Linked DNA regions of Rhinolophus ferrumequinum. The protein of the gene in region 2 binds, or shares a complex with, the protein of the main gene of each other region. Links are inferred from orthologs where the notes say so. Each region holds a gene or a part of one and is shown on either strand. Other genes may lie near its edges.

Region 1 (3,440 bases), on a different chromosome or scaffold from region 2:
GTGCAAAATGCTCTACAGACAATATGCTGCAATTAGAGGACGATGGGGTCTGTGTGGGAGGGGCAAGGAGCAGAAAGGGCAGGTCTTCAGGAAGAGGCATTTCAGTCAAGACCCCAAGGAGAAAGAGGAGCCAGCTACATGTGTGCCTGGGGATAAGCATTCCAGGTACAGGAACAGCGAGGACAAATGTTCTGAGCAGGAAAGCGCGCGGTGCGCTTGTGGAAGGGAAAGGAAGAGAGAGAAAGAAGAGAGGTGGTATCCACGGTGGCGCCTGCTATGAGGACTGGCTCTTAGAGCTTTGACGAGGGGTTTACATTTTATGTTAAGTGTGATGGGAAGCAGTGGAGGATTGGAGTGATATGATTTGATTTTTCTTTTAAAAAGCTTACTCTGAAAAAAAAAGTGAAAAAAAAATGCTTACTCTGGTTGCGGCCCCCACCCCCTATTCTCCCACCCACATGTGGAGATGCTCGCTCAGTGTTGGACTCTGGGGATACCAAGAAGGATGAGCCGTGGTCCCTGCCCCCAGAGGGGTGCTCAACTCTCCTCTTTGCCTCAACCCTGCCCCCAATCGCCCCTTCTTTGCCCCATGACACGTGACACAATGTGATCCATTGGAAGCTAGTTTATTTTGATTGGTTTTTCATGGGGCCGGGCTGGGCTGGGAGGTAACTGAGCTCTGAAGTTCGGTTCTAGGGACGTTGATCCCCTTTCTCAGCACTGCGGCGGCCGAAGTCCATCCATTCATACGCTGCTTCTTCTTCCTTCAGCCATGGCTCCTGCTTCTTGGACAGATCTGAGGGTCAGAGATGGCAGAGGAGGTGAGTATGGTGGAGGGACACCTAGCTTCTGGGACTGAGGCCAGGGCCAAATGGGCTGAGTGAGGCAAGCAGGGATGGCTGTCAGTAACTCCTACCTGCCACCAGGTCTGGGGGACTCTGGCGCCTAATCTGCCTTCGGTGGTGAGGGGCTGGACCCAACTGGTCCAGCCAATGTGGCTCCAGGCCCCTATTGACCCCTGAATCCGAGGGCGAATCCTGCAGCTCGTAGTGGGGCTTCCAAGAAGCTTCAGAGAAGGTAGCCAGAGCCAGTGCCGAGATCAGCACGTACACACACAATCTGTGCATCTTGTCTGCAAAGGAGAGAGCGGCCGAGCTTAAAGGTGGAGTAGTCCAGGCACCCAGAGGCAGGTGTCTGGACCAGATACACTCCAGACTCTGCCTGCCAACAGATCTGCAATTCTGCGACGGCTTGGCGGCTGTTCTTCCAGTTCCTGCCTGCTCCCCCGGCCCCCAAGCCTTGCCCCTTTCCTTCTTACGTACCCTAACTCCAGTGACTGCTTCTCTGAGTAATCGAAAACCTAGAGGAATTTTTTCTAAACTGTTTTATAGAGTTTGAGGCCAGGTGAATAGCTCTGTAGATGTTTCAGTCTTGTAATTTACAGTGAACGTTAAACAGTAATACCAAAGGAACATACACACTCAGCTGCGTTACAGACCACACCGGGTTCCTTTGGAGACCTCCAGCATAGTCACCGTGTCCAGCATTGGCCATGTGTGTTGTCCAGTATGGTAGCCGTGGTCACATATGGCTCCTTGCATTTAAATTCAGATAAAAAATTCCTCCCTTGCACTAGCCACATTTACAGTGCATGTGTGGCTGGTGGATACCATATTGGACAGTGAAGATTTAGATTAACATCAAAATCGAAAGTTCTTTCAGACTGTGCTGGTCTAGGAAAGAGCTTGAGGTGGGATCCAGAAACCCTGGGTTCCAGTCCCAGCCTTGCCCAATAATTTATATGACTTTGGGTAAGTCACGTCTCCCTCTGGGCCTCAGTTTTCTCATCTGAGAGATGGGAGAATAGCCTTTGTCCCCAGCTCCTAGGGCTGGGGTGAGTATGTAGTAAGAGGTTAGGGCAGGGACCTGGGTGAATCAGCAGGTCAGCTTGAAGGCGAGGGTTGGGAAGCCAGGGTGGGCCCTAGTGCCGAGACCTAGTGCAGCCCTGGGCTAAAGGACGTGTCCCATCCCTGGAGACACCGAGATGTGAGCCTGGGGTCCTAGCAACCCTCTTCCCAGCCTCTCCCTCCCCTCCCAGGTGCTCTCACCTGCAGAGCTGGGAAGCCGATGCTCGATGCTCGGGTCAGTTTGGAGCCTCTCTGTCCTCTGTTGGGCTGGGTGCTCCAGCCCTGACTTATAAAGCCCTCAAGGCCCCTCCCAAGCCCCCCCCCCCCCCCCCCCCCCCGTGAGGTCAGGCTCTTCACTGGTAGAGGAAAGTGGGTGGTCCAGGTACATCACCCCTGCCCCGCCCTGTCATTTAGAGTCACTCATCCGGGTGTGGGGGAGGGGAGAGAGTGGACCTTCGTGGGGAGGGGCAGGAGCAGGGTGGGGCAGGGGCAGTTCTTCAGCTGGGCATGAGGGCAGGCAGGAGACAGGTTCCCTGGGCTCAGGGACAGGGTCCCCATCATGTTCTCGGGGTCAGAGACCTGGTGCTCACCCCTTGGTCTAGATCCAGTCAGGGGCAGGTGAGGCAGACGGACCAAATGACCTTAGATTCAGAGAAAACACTGTAAGAGACTGTTAGCATGTGAACTGCTATCTTTAGGTCAGGGTTAACAGCCCCTAGCCTGAAACAACATAATTATAAAATTCCAGGATGTGGGCAGTTGCAGCATGGAGACTAGAAGTCCTGTAGCTTATCTTATACTCCTGGTCTCCTTGTCCTGTAGTAAATCTTATACTCTTTGAAGCTATGCAAGTCCTGTAGCTTATCTTATACTCCTGGTCTCCTTGTCCTGTAGTAAATCTTATACTCTTTGAAGCTATGCAAGTCCTGTAGCTTATCTTATACTCCTGGTCTCCTTGTCCTGTAGTAAATCTTATACTCTTTGAAACTATGTAAGTCCTGTAAGTTTATCTAGTACTCTCAGAAGCTATGGAAAGCCTTGAAAATGCTATATAACCCCTTGGCTTTAAGTGTTTGGGGTCCTTGTTAAAACCTGCTGCGTCGGGCAGAGACTCGGACCCCAGCCGGCTGGAAATAAACCTCGCTGTGTGACTTGCATTATTTTGCGGGTTCTCTGTCTGTCTGAGGGGGACAATTCCGGACCTTAACATTTGGGGGCTCGCCCGGGACGCCCCCCCCTCAGGGGAACAGACAACTCCCGATACCGAGGTTTACATAGGGAACCGCGGAAGGAGGTTTGGCCACCTCCAATAGGGGAGGACTGAAACAGGTCCTCGACCGGAGAGACTGAAACAGGTCTCTGCCCGGTCCCAGTTGAGAATTCTCACGGGAAGGAAAGTGCGGGTTACGACCCTGGAGGCTTCGTTACTTGAAGTCGTGGGAGACGTCCCCGACAAGAAGGTGGCCCAGCGACGTCCACAGTGGACGCCGTTTGGACGGGCCCTAGGTAAGGATCTTGAGCGTGGTGAGACTG
Region 2 (3,744 bases):
AGGCTAAAATATTAGAGGAGGCAAGTCCAGCCCAAGGAGCTGAATCCGACTCAGTCCTGCGCATGCTCTCAACAGCTTTGTTTCCGCTGCACCCCAGTGACCCAGCCCCCTTCTGGCCCCTCCCGTGGGAACCTGACGCCCCACACAAGCTGCTCCACCTGCGCGGAGAGCAAACAGGGAGCGTCTGTGTGTCGGGTGACGGTGGGCGCTGCCTGGAGACCACGAAGAAAACCAGCAGCCTCCTCCCCTCTTAGGCCTACGCAGCGCTGGTTTAGAACCATACCCCCAACCCTCACCCCACTCCACCCCCGTTTATCCTAGGTAGTTCTCACACCCCCACCCCCAGACTCCTCAACACCCAAGTCAGACTCTTCCTCCCGGCAGCCGTTTCCCCCGCCAGGGTTCCCCGTGGTCAAATGCTGTCTCTCCCGCCCCATCCTCGCATGCTGCTGAGGGTTCCTTGGGACCTTTGGGTGGGAGGCTGGGTGTTGCCTGAGGCAGGATGCGGCGAGGAGCTGCAGGGAACTACGGGAACGATAGCATCGCGGTCACTGCGGTCACTGCGGCCACTGCGGCACAGTATCGTAACTGCAGCGTTCGCTGTGAGCTAAGCCATCTGCGCCGAAGCCAGTGACCTCGCACGCGGCCACCGGCTGTTTCCATCTCCACGTCCCCCGACACTCCAGGGAAAGATGCTAAACTCCACGGCAGCAGCCTCGCCCTACCCCACCCCTCTTACCCTTCCTTCCCTGAAACCTACCTCCTCGCAACCTCCCCGTCTCTACATCCACCCCCAACCCCCACCCCACCCTTCCATCTCAGCGCTCTCTCTCTCTCTCTCTGTCTCTCTCTCTCTCTCTGACTCTCTCTCTGTCTCTCTCTCTCTCTCTGTCTCTCCCCCCGCCGCATCCCCGGGGGCGGAGACTGTAGTGAAGGGGAGTGGGCGAGAAGAAAATCTCTAAAAGAAGAACGGAGAGATTTATTTTAGGGTACGGAGGGCTCAAGCCTGGAGGACAGTCACGCAGGGGGCAAGTCCTGAGCGGGGAGGGGGGCGGAGGTCACCTGGCAGGACAGCTGAGGACCCGAGCTGGGGGGACCCGAGCCCACGCGGGGCGCACCGCGGAAAAGCTGAGGGCAGGAGCCAAGGTTGGGGGCGGGACCAGGCGAGGCGGGCGCCTCCGCGGAATCTCAGCGCGTGCAGGTGGAGCCGCCGCGGGAGCCCGCCCGGAGGAGCGGGGCCAGGGCCATGGAGCTGCTCAAGCTGAACCGGAGCGTGCCGGGATCCGGACCCGGGCCAGGGGCTTCCCTGTGCCGCCCGGGGGTCCCCCTCCTCAACAGCAGCGGTACTGGCAACCTCAGCTGCGAGCCCCCTCGCATCCGCGAAGCCGGGACACGAGGTGGGTGCCTCCCTAAGCCCCCTCCACAAGCTCCTTCCCACTGCACCCACGACACGAATAGAGGATCCCACTGCCTCCACATTGCCTCCTCAAACACCCACACCATGCCCTCAGGGCACTCCCTCAGTCCCCAAACAGCTCCCCTGAGGAGGACATTTGTCCCCCTCAGCTCATAAAACTCCATCCCAGCTCACACAGCCTGGTGAGAAACCCTACACACCCTGGTTCCCGGGTCATACCCGGAGCTTCTAGTCACCCCCCAAACACAGTACCTTCCCCAATACACAGAGGGTGGGGAGTTAATTCTTCTAAGTCTCTCTTTTGCCTTTACATCCAGTTCACAGAGCCACAATGGAGAAGGAAAGAGAGAAAAGAAGGCAAGATTGGGAAAAAGAAAGGGGCTGTTTGGGGAAGGGAGCAGTCTGGAAGGCCTGAGTGGGAAGTTAGAGTTATAATCTCCTGTGTCCCCAACCCCAACCCCCAATCTTCCCGGAAGAGATTGTCAAACTTGAATTAGGCTGGGTGCTGCTCCGGAGAGCTGCCTGTCTCCATTTCACTCATCCTCAAATCTTCCTGCCTCCCAACATGGAATTCTTCTCAAGGTCTGAACTCTCTTTCTCTATCACCAAGTAACGTCTCCAAGTGCCTTCCAAGCCTCCCCTCCAGACTGCCTCTCCTTAGGTTTCACCATCCTAGAGCCTAGCTGGCCCCTGAATCACCCCGTGGCCACCACCCCTTCAGACTACTTCCATTCACCCAGTCCCCAAAATAACTTTCACTCTTCCCATCAGCCAACATCTGCATTTTCTTGATGACCCAGCTCAAGTTATATATTTTCTACTTCCTGTACATTTCCTTTCCCTAAATGTTTACTGGGCAACTGCTATTGTAGTCCATGGGGACATAGGGATGAACTAGACCCAGTCTGGACTGTCATCGGTCCATAGTCAAGTGCAGAGAGGAGACAAAAACCAACGGAAAAATCACAGTCAGCAAGGGAAGACCCACAAAAGGGTCTGAATTGTGGGCACCCAAAAGGATTCAAGAACTTCACAGAGGGAACCTGGGAGCTGGGTCTTGAAGTTGGAGTTTATTATGCAGACAAGGAAGAAGTGGGATTCCAGGAGGGGAAATAATGTTAAACAGAAGGAAATTATGCCAATCCCAAAAAGGGAAGGTGGGAATAAATTATAATTCAAGTACTTTGTTACCCCACAAAGAACGCATGCTTCCTCATACAGACTCTCACTTAGATTTCTATTTTATTCAACAAATACTTATTGAACCAGGGATTGTGCTAGGCACCAAAACTGACACCGTTCCTTTTTCATGACTCCAACAGTTTAGTGAATGAGACAGACAAGTAAGCAAGGAATTGCAGCACAAAGTGCCTTGAGAGAGCTGTGGGAACACAGAAGAGGAGCACCGCTAGCCTAGCCTATCGTTGGGAAATCAGTTAGCCTCCTGAGGAGGCAAAGTATGAACTGAATAAAAATAAAAAGGATGAAAGAAAGCCAGCCAAATGAATGGCAGAAAAGGCAAAAAAAAAAAAAAAAAAAAAAAAAAAAAAAAGAAAAAAAAAGAAAAAAAAAAAAAGCACTCCAAGCAGAGGAATAGTATGTGTAAAAGCCCAAAGTTTAAAACCAAGGCACTTTTGTTCAGTGTGTCATAGTTTCTGAATGCCTGAAACATATACTGTAAGAAAGGAATAACGAACACTCAGAATGAAGGTGAGCCTAAAGAGCTTTAAGACTTAAGGAGTGTCAATGTTGTCTTGAGGGCCATGGAACTACTGGAAGTTTCAGTAGTGCTGCCAGGATTCATTCTGTGGTGTAGAGGATGGATCGGAGGACAAGACATGTAAGAAAGGGGGATGGGGTGGGTGGACACTTTAGAAAGCTATTATATTACACTGGTTCTGGGGAAAGATGATACTGGCTTAGACTAATTTACTGGCAGCAGGGATGGAGAGAAGTGGATGTTTGAGAGGCACTTCTGGAATCAACAGAATTTAGCTATTTATAAGAAATGGAGAGGGAGGAAGAGGTCAAGGGATAACATCCAGGTTTCTGGCTTGGACAATTGGATAGATGTTGGTGTATATAATGAGAAGGATAACAAAGGAACAGAAACAGATTTGAAAGAGGAGATAATAAATTCAATTTGGAACACACTGAGCTCAAATGCTGGTGCAATACTTAGGTGAGGTCACCCAGTAAACTATTAAACCCAGGGGTCTGGAATCTAAGTGTGAGGTATGAGCTAGAAATATAGACTTGAAAGGTCTTTGCCTAGAGGAGGTAATGGAAGCTATGGGAATAGATAAAATTATACAAAGATTGTATAG
Region 3 (3,744 bases), on a different chromosome or scaffold from region 2:
CTGACAGGTTCTCCCTGTTGCCGGGCAACTGCAAGAGCTGTTGGCTGTTGCTAGGAGCAGGCTGGGGAGGCCTGAGAAGGGAGGATCAGCTCTCAAGCGCAGGGCTGAGCTGGTGGGGGAAGAGGCAAGTCTGGTCACAGACAGGCTGTGTTCTTGGCTGTGTGCACCCATTTTTATAGTCTTCTGTGGTTAGAGGCATGTATAGAGCATATCTCTGAGTGTCTGTGTCACTGGGTGGGCATTATGTGTTTTCACCATGTTGCATGCTTGTGGCAGTGCCTGTCTGAGCTTTGGCTCCAGGAAGGAGGGAGCCCAGGGGGAACCGTTGGAGGACTTACAGGCCAATGGCTCCTCAACAAGGGAGCCATTCAGATAGGGATACAGACACTCCAGGGGGAGCAGACAGCCTGAGGACTGGGAGCTGAAACAAGATGTGTGCCAGGGTAGGAAGGAGGGAGTCTGCTGAACAGGGGCTGTGGGTGGCCAAGCGTTGGTGACCGAGCATTGGTGGCCAGTTCCCCTCCTGGCTTTGTTGACCTTTTCTGTCTTTGGGTTGGGGCCATCTCGGCTATTGCACTAGATACACTGCTGCCTCCACCCCACCTTTGCCCCGTCATAGGGTTGTAGCCACTGTCTAGTGGAGTCAGGCCATAAGATCATGGCCACTTATATTTTCAGAGGTCAGTTGGCATCTCTCTCTCTGTCTCTCTCCTCCTCACTTGGGTCCTGGTTGCGGAGACCCAGGCTGGAGTCCAGGATGCCTACCTGCTGGAGAATGCCTCCTAGAAGAACTGAGGATAGAGTAAGTCCTGGATGACTAGAAAAAGCAAAGATGTAGAAGTGGCAATAGACTTTTTGTAAAAATTGCAACCCAGAAAGAGAAGGGGAGCAAACCCTCCTTAGGACGGAGAAAGCCGCAGTCCAGAGAGACTCTGGGCTCTGTAGATCCCAAAACAAGTTTATTGGGTTTATTAACTTTAACAAGTGCGAGGACACGCCTCCTCCACCCGGTTCGCGCAACTCGATGAAGCTCGGAGGGCTGCTTCCTGCTCCGCCCGCAAGGTGCACCCGATCTCCACCCTCAGGCTACGAGATCCTCCCGCCCCGCGGTTGGGCTGCGCCCCAGGAGCTCCGCACCCAATCGGATGCCGGCCCCGCCTGCAGCCCGCCCCGAGTCCTATCCCTCTGGGCTTGGCGATACCTCTACGGCTCTCCCTCGGCGTGGCTCCGCCTCCAGCCCGCGCCCGAGCCTGGGCTGCGCCTAACTCCTTAGTTCCGCCCTCGAACCAATCGCTGGCCCGAGATCTCCTGTGGCCCCGCCTCCAGACCCGCCCCTGCCCAGTGCCGGGCCTGGCTCGTTCCGGCCCCACCCCCGGCCCGCCCCGCCGTCGGTGCGCGGAGCCCTGGAAGGCACCGCCCGCAGACGCTCGCAATTGCCGACCGGAGAGCTACCCGAGGAGAGCCGGCGGCGGGAGCGGAGTGGGTTGCGCGCGGGGCCAAGCCGGGCCGGGGGCCGTGTCGGGGCCGAGCGGCGGCCGGGCCGGCGGACGGCAGGATGGGCTGCACCGTGAGCGCCGAGGACAAGGCGGCGGCCGAGCGCTCCAAGATGATCGACAAGAATCTGAGGGAAGACGGAGAGAAGGCGGCGCGGGAGGTCAAGTTGCTGCTGTTGGGTGAGGCCGCGCCCTGCGCTGGGACCCCCGACTCCCCGCCCAAAACCCCCAACAAGGACTTTGACCTCCAGGCTAGGGCTTTGAACTCCCAGACTCGGCCTGGACCCCCACATCTGAATTTGAACCCCCAGACCTGGCCTGGCCAGGACAACCAAATAATGATTCAAAAGTCTGGGTTGGTCCAGACCTCTGATCTATAGCCCAGAGTCGAGGTTAGACCTTCAACTCATTCCAGTCCCCAAAGCCGGCCCCCAGTGCCTCAACATAAGCTGCTCAGAACCCGGCTTGAAAATCCACCTTTACTGACCAACCTCACAGACCCTCAGAGCCGCTGCCTGTCCTCATCCTTCCCTAGACTTTACCCAAACCCCCAGAACCCTACTCGGCCCCCAGACTGCTCACCGTATTCCGTTCGGTGGAAGTATCCTCAAGGCCCCTGCCTGGCCCCCTTTCCCTCCTTCCCGCTCTGTTCCCCATCTCTACACGGCACCCTGTATCCTCCACCTGTGCACCCTGATCCCAAGGGGCCTCTCAAGTGGGAAACCATAACTGCTCCTGAGCCCTCTCTCCAGCTGGAACCCCCAAACCCTTAAAGACCTCTGCTGCCTGCATCTGGCCCACCAGGTCTCTGCCCGCATCACTCCTCAGACCCGCTGTTTCCCCTCCGTGAAGTCCTCTTCCACACTTCGGCCTTTCCCAGAGTCCCCCACCCCTCCTGCACTGGATGGGCCAGGCTGGGAGGAGGTGGCCCAGACCCCCAAGGGGTCCGACTAAGGCTTCACTGGTCCCACTTGGGGAGCCCGGGCCTCTGCATCCCAGGGCTGTCCTTTTCCCAGTTTCTAAGCCGGGTCTGGGCCGGTGAGGGGGAGGTCTGGGGGGTAGGAGGGAGTGTGGAGGAGTTGGGGTTGTGGCGCCTCCAGGGCCAGGGAAGATGGTGGCTGCTTGAGAGGTGGGGGAAGTGGAAGTGGTAAGACAGCGAGCCGACATATTGCTGCCCTGGCGGGCGGGCGGGCCGAGGAGATCTGCTGACGGGTGCCAGGCTTCCTGCACGCCTCTGGGCCTAACGGCCTGGGATGTGGCCTCCGGGAGGGGGTGGCCTGTTGGATCTTGAGGCCGTGTGAGGAGCGAGTGGTGGACCAGCTGGATGGGGGGTAGGGGGTAGGCGGGGGGCACCTGAGGTGGACTTTTACAAAGCCTGTGGGCCCTGTAGTTGTCCCCATCCAGCCTCCCACTGGGAGCAGGTGTGGTGCCCAGTGGCAGCCTGATTTGGGGGAGGTTTCGGGCTTGGAGGGAGGGAAGCCCCTGGCAGCAGCATTGGAGGCTGGACAGTGTATGGGGGGGTGTGGCCCCTCAGCCTCAGAGCTGCTGTGGGGTCCCAAGCTGTGAAAAGTGGGGCTTTTCATGCTGGGCGTATGGCCGAGGGGCCTATGGCCGAGGGACAGTGTGTCTTTCGTCATGCGTCCATCTGTTGACTGTCCCTGGGGGCCTGGCCTCGGGGGCACAGCCCCGAGGTTTCAAAATGGCATCCGCTCCAACGCTGCGGGAGGAAGAGAAGGGGCGGGAAGGGGCGGCGGCCCAGCCTCCTGGGCTGTTTTGCGTTGGGCGCTTGCCTCTTCCTGTCTCTGTGCTGCGAGTACAGCGGCAGTGAGTGGGTGTCGCCGATGGAATGCCCGTGGCTGCTGCCTGCTGGGCCTGGGAAAGGTGCTTCTGGTCCTGCTGCCTCCCAGTGCCCGACCAGGGGCCTCTAGCCAGCCCCTTGGCAGGCCCGTCAGAGTTATTGTGGCAGCTGAGATGTGGGACTGGGCCATGGGGCGGGGGGACACAGGGCTTCTGGGCTGTTCTGTGTCTGGACCGCATCCCACCAGTCTTGCTCCTAGGAGCCTGGCTCAGGTTTTGGGCCTGGCAACCCCTCCCACACTGGGCTGTCACAACCAGGGGTTCAGGGTACGGCTCAGCATTTTCTAGGCTGGGGAGTCCATTTCAGCATCCTGCCCCTCTGGCTTTGCTTCCCTCCCCATCCCCTACCCCCATGAAATGGGCTTCCTGGGTTTGGGCCAGAGGAGTGCCTGGG

Evidence for each region.
Region 1: the proteins of CCKBR (region 2) and GAST are in contact, whole or in part, in a cryo-EM structure (PDB 7XOW), measured with the Homo sapiens proteins. The link is inferred for Rhinolophus ferrumequinum from reciprocal best matches to the Homo sapiens genes CCKBR and GAST. Residues at the interface, in NP_795344.1 of Homo sapiens: Cys107, Pro114, Asn115, Gly118, Thr119, Phe120, Met134, Gly135, Val138, Tyr189, Gln204, Cys205, His207, Leu222, Val349, Tyr350, Ala352, Asn353, Arg356, Pro361, Ala363, His364, Leu367, Ser368, Ile372, His376, Tyr380; in NP_000796.1 of Homo sapiens: Glu85, Ala86, Tyr87, Gly88, Trp89, Met90, Asp91, Phe92.
Region 3: the proteins of CCKBR (region 2) and GNAI2 are in contact, whole or in part, in a cryo-EM structure (PDB 7F8V), measured with the Homo sapiens proteins. The link is inferred for Rhinolophus ferrumequinum from reciprocal best matches to the Homo sapiens genes CCKBR and GNAI2. Residues at the interface, in NP_795344.1 of Homo sapiens: Thr87, Thr89, Arg152, Ala155, Ile156, Pro159, Leu160, Ala162, Arg163, Val164, Thr167, Ser169, Ile241, Gly248, Leu249, Lys328, Val331, Leu335, His394, Arg396; in NP_002061.1 of Homo sapiens: Glu28, Ala31, Arg32, Glu33, Val34, Lys193, Leu195, Thr220, Phe337, Thr341, Asp342, Ile344, Ile345, Asn348, Leu349, Lys350, Asp351, Cys352, Gly353, Leu354, Phe355.

What each region holds. Positions count from the first base shown.
Region 1 is NC_046304.1:37,693,388-37,696,827, reverse strand, and holds GAST (gastrin), read right to left. Parts: upstream 2,154-3,440; 5' UTR 2,109-2,153; intron 1,133-2,108; 5' UTR 1,128-1,132; coding exon 917-1,127; intron 797-916; coding exon 693-796; 3' UTR 631-692; downstream 1-630. UniProt on the Homo sapiens protein: Gastrin stimulates the stomach mucosa to produce and secrete hydrochloric acid and the pancreas to secrete its digestive enzymes. It also stimulates smooth muscle contraction and increases blood circulation and water secretion in the stomach and intestine.
Region 2 is NC_046294.1:45,510,165-45,513,908, reverse strand, and holds the start of CCKBR (gastrin/cholecystokinin type B receptor), read left to right. Parts: upstream 1-1,246; coding exon 1,247-1,397; intron 1,398-3,744. UniProt on the Homo sapiens protein: Receptor for gastrin and cholecystokinin. The CCK-B receptors occur throughout the central nervous system where they modulate anxiety, analgesia, arousal, and neuroleptic activity.
Region 3 is NC_046300.1:6,341,069-6,344,812, reverse strand, and holds the start of GNAI2 (guanine nucleotide-binding protein G(i) subunit alpha-2), read left to right. Parts: upstream 1-1,398; 5' UTR 1,399-1,555; coding exon 1,556-1,673; intron 1,674-3,744. UniProt on the Homo sapiens protein: Guanine nucleotide-binding proteins (G proteins) are involved as modulators or transducers in various transmembrane signaling systems.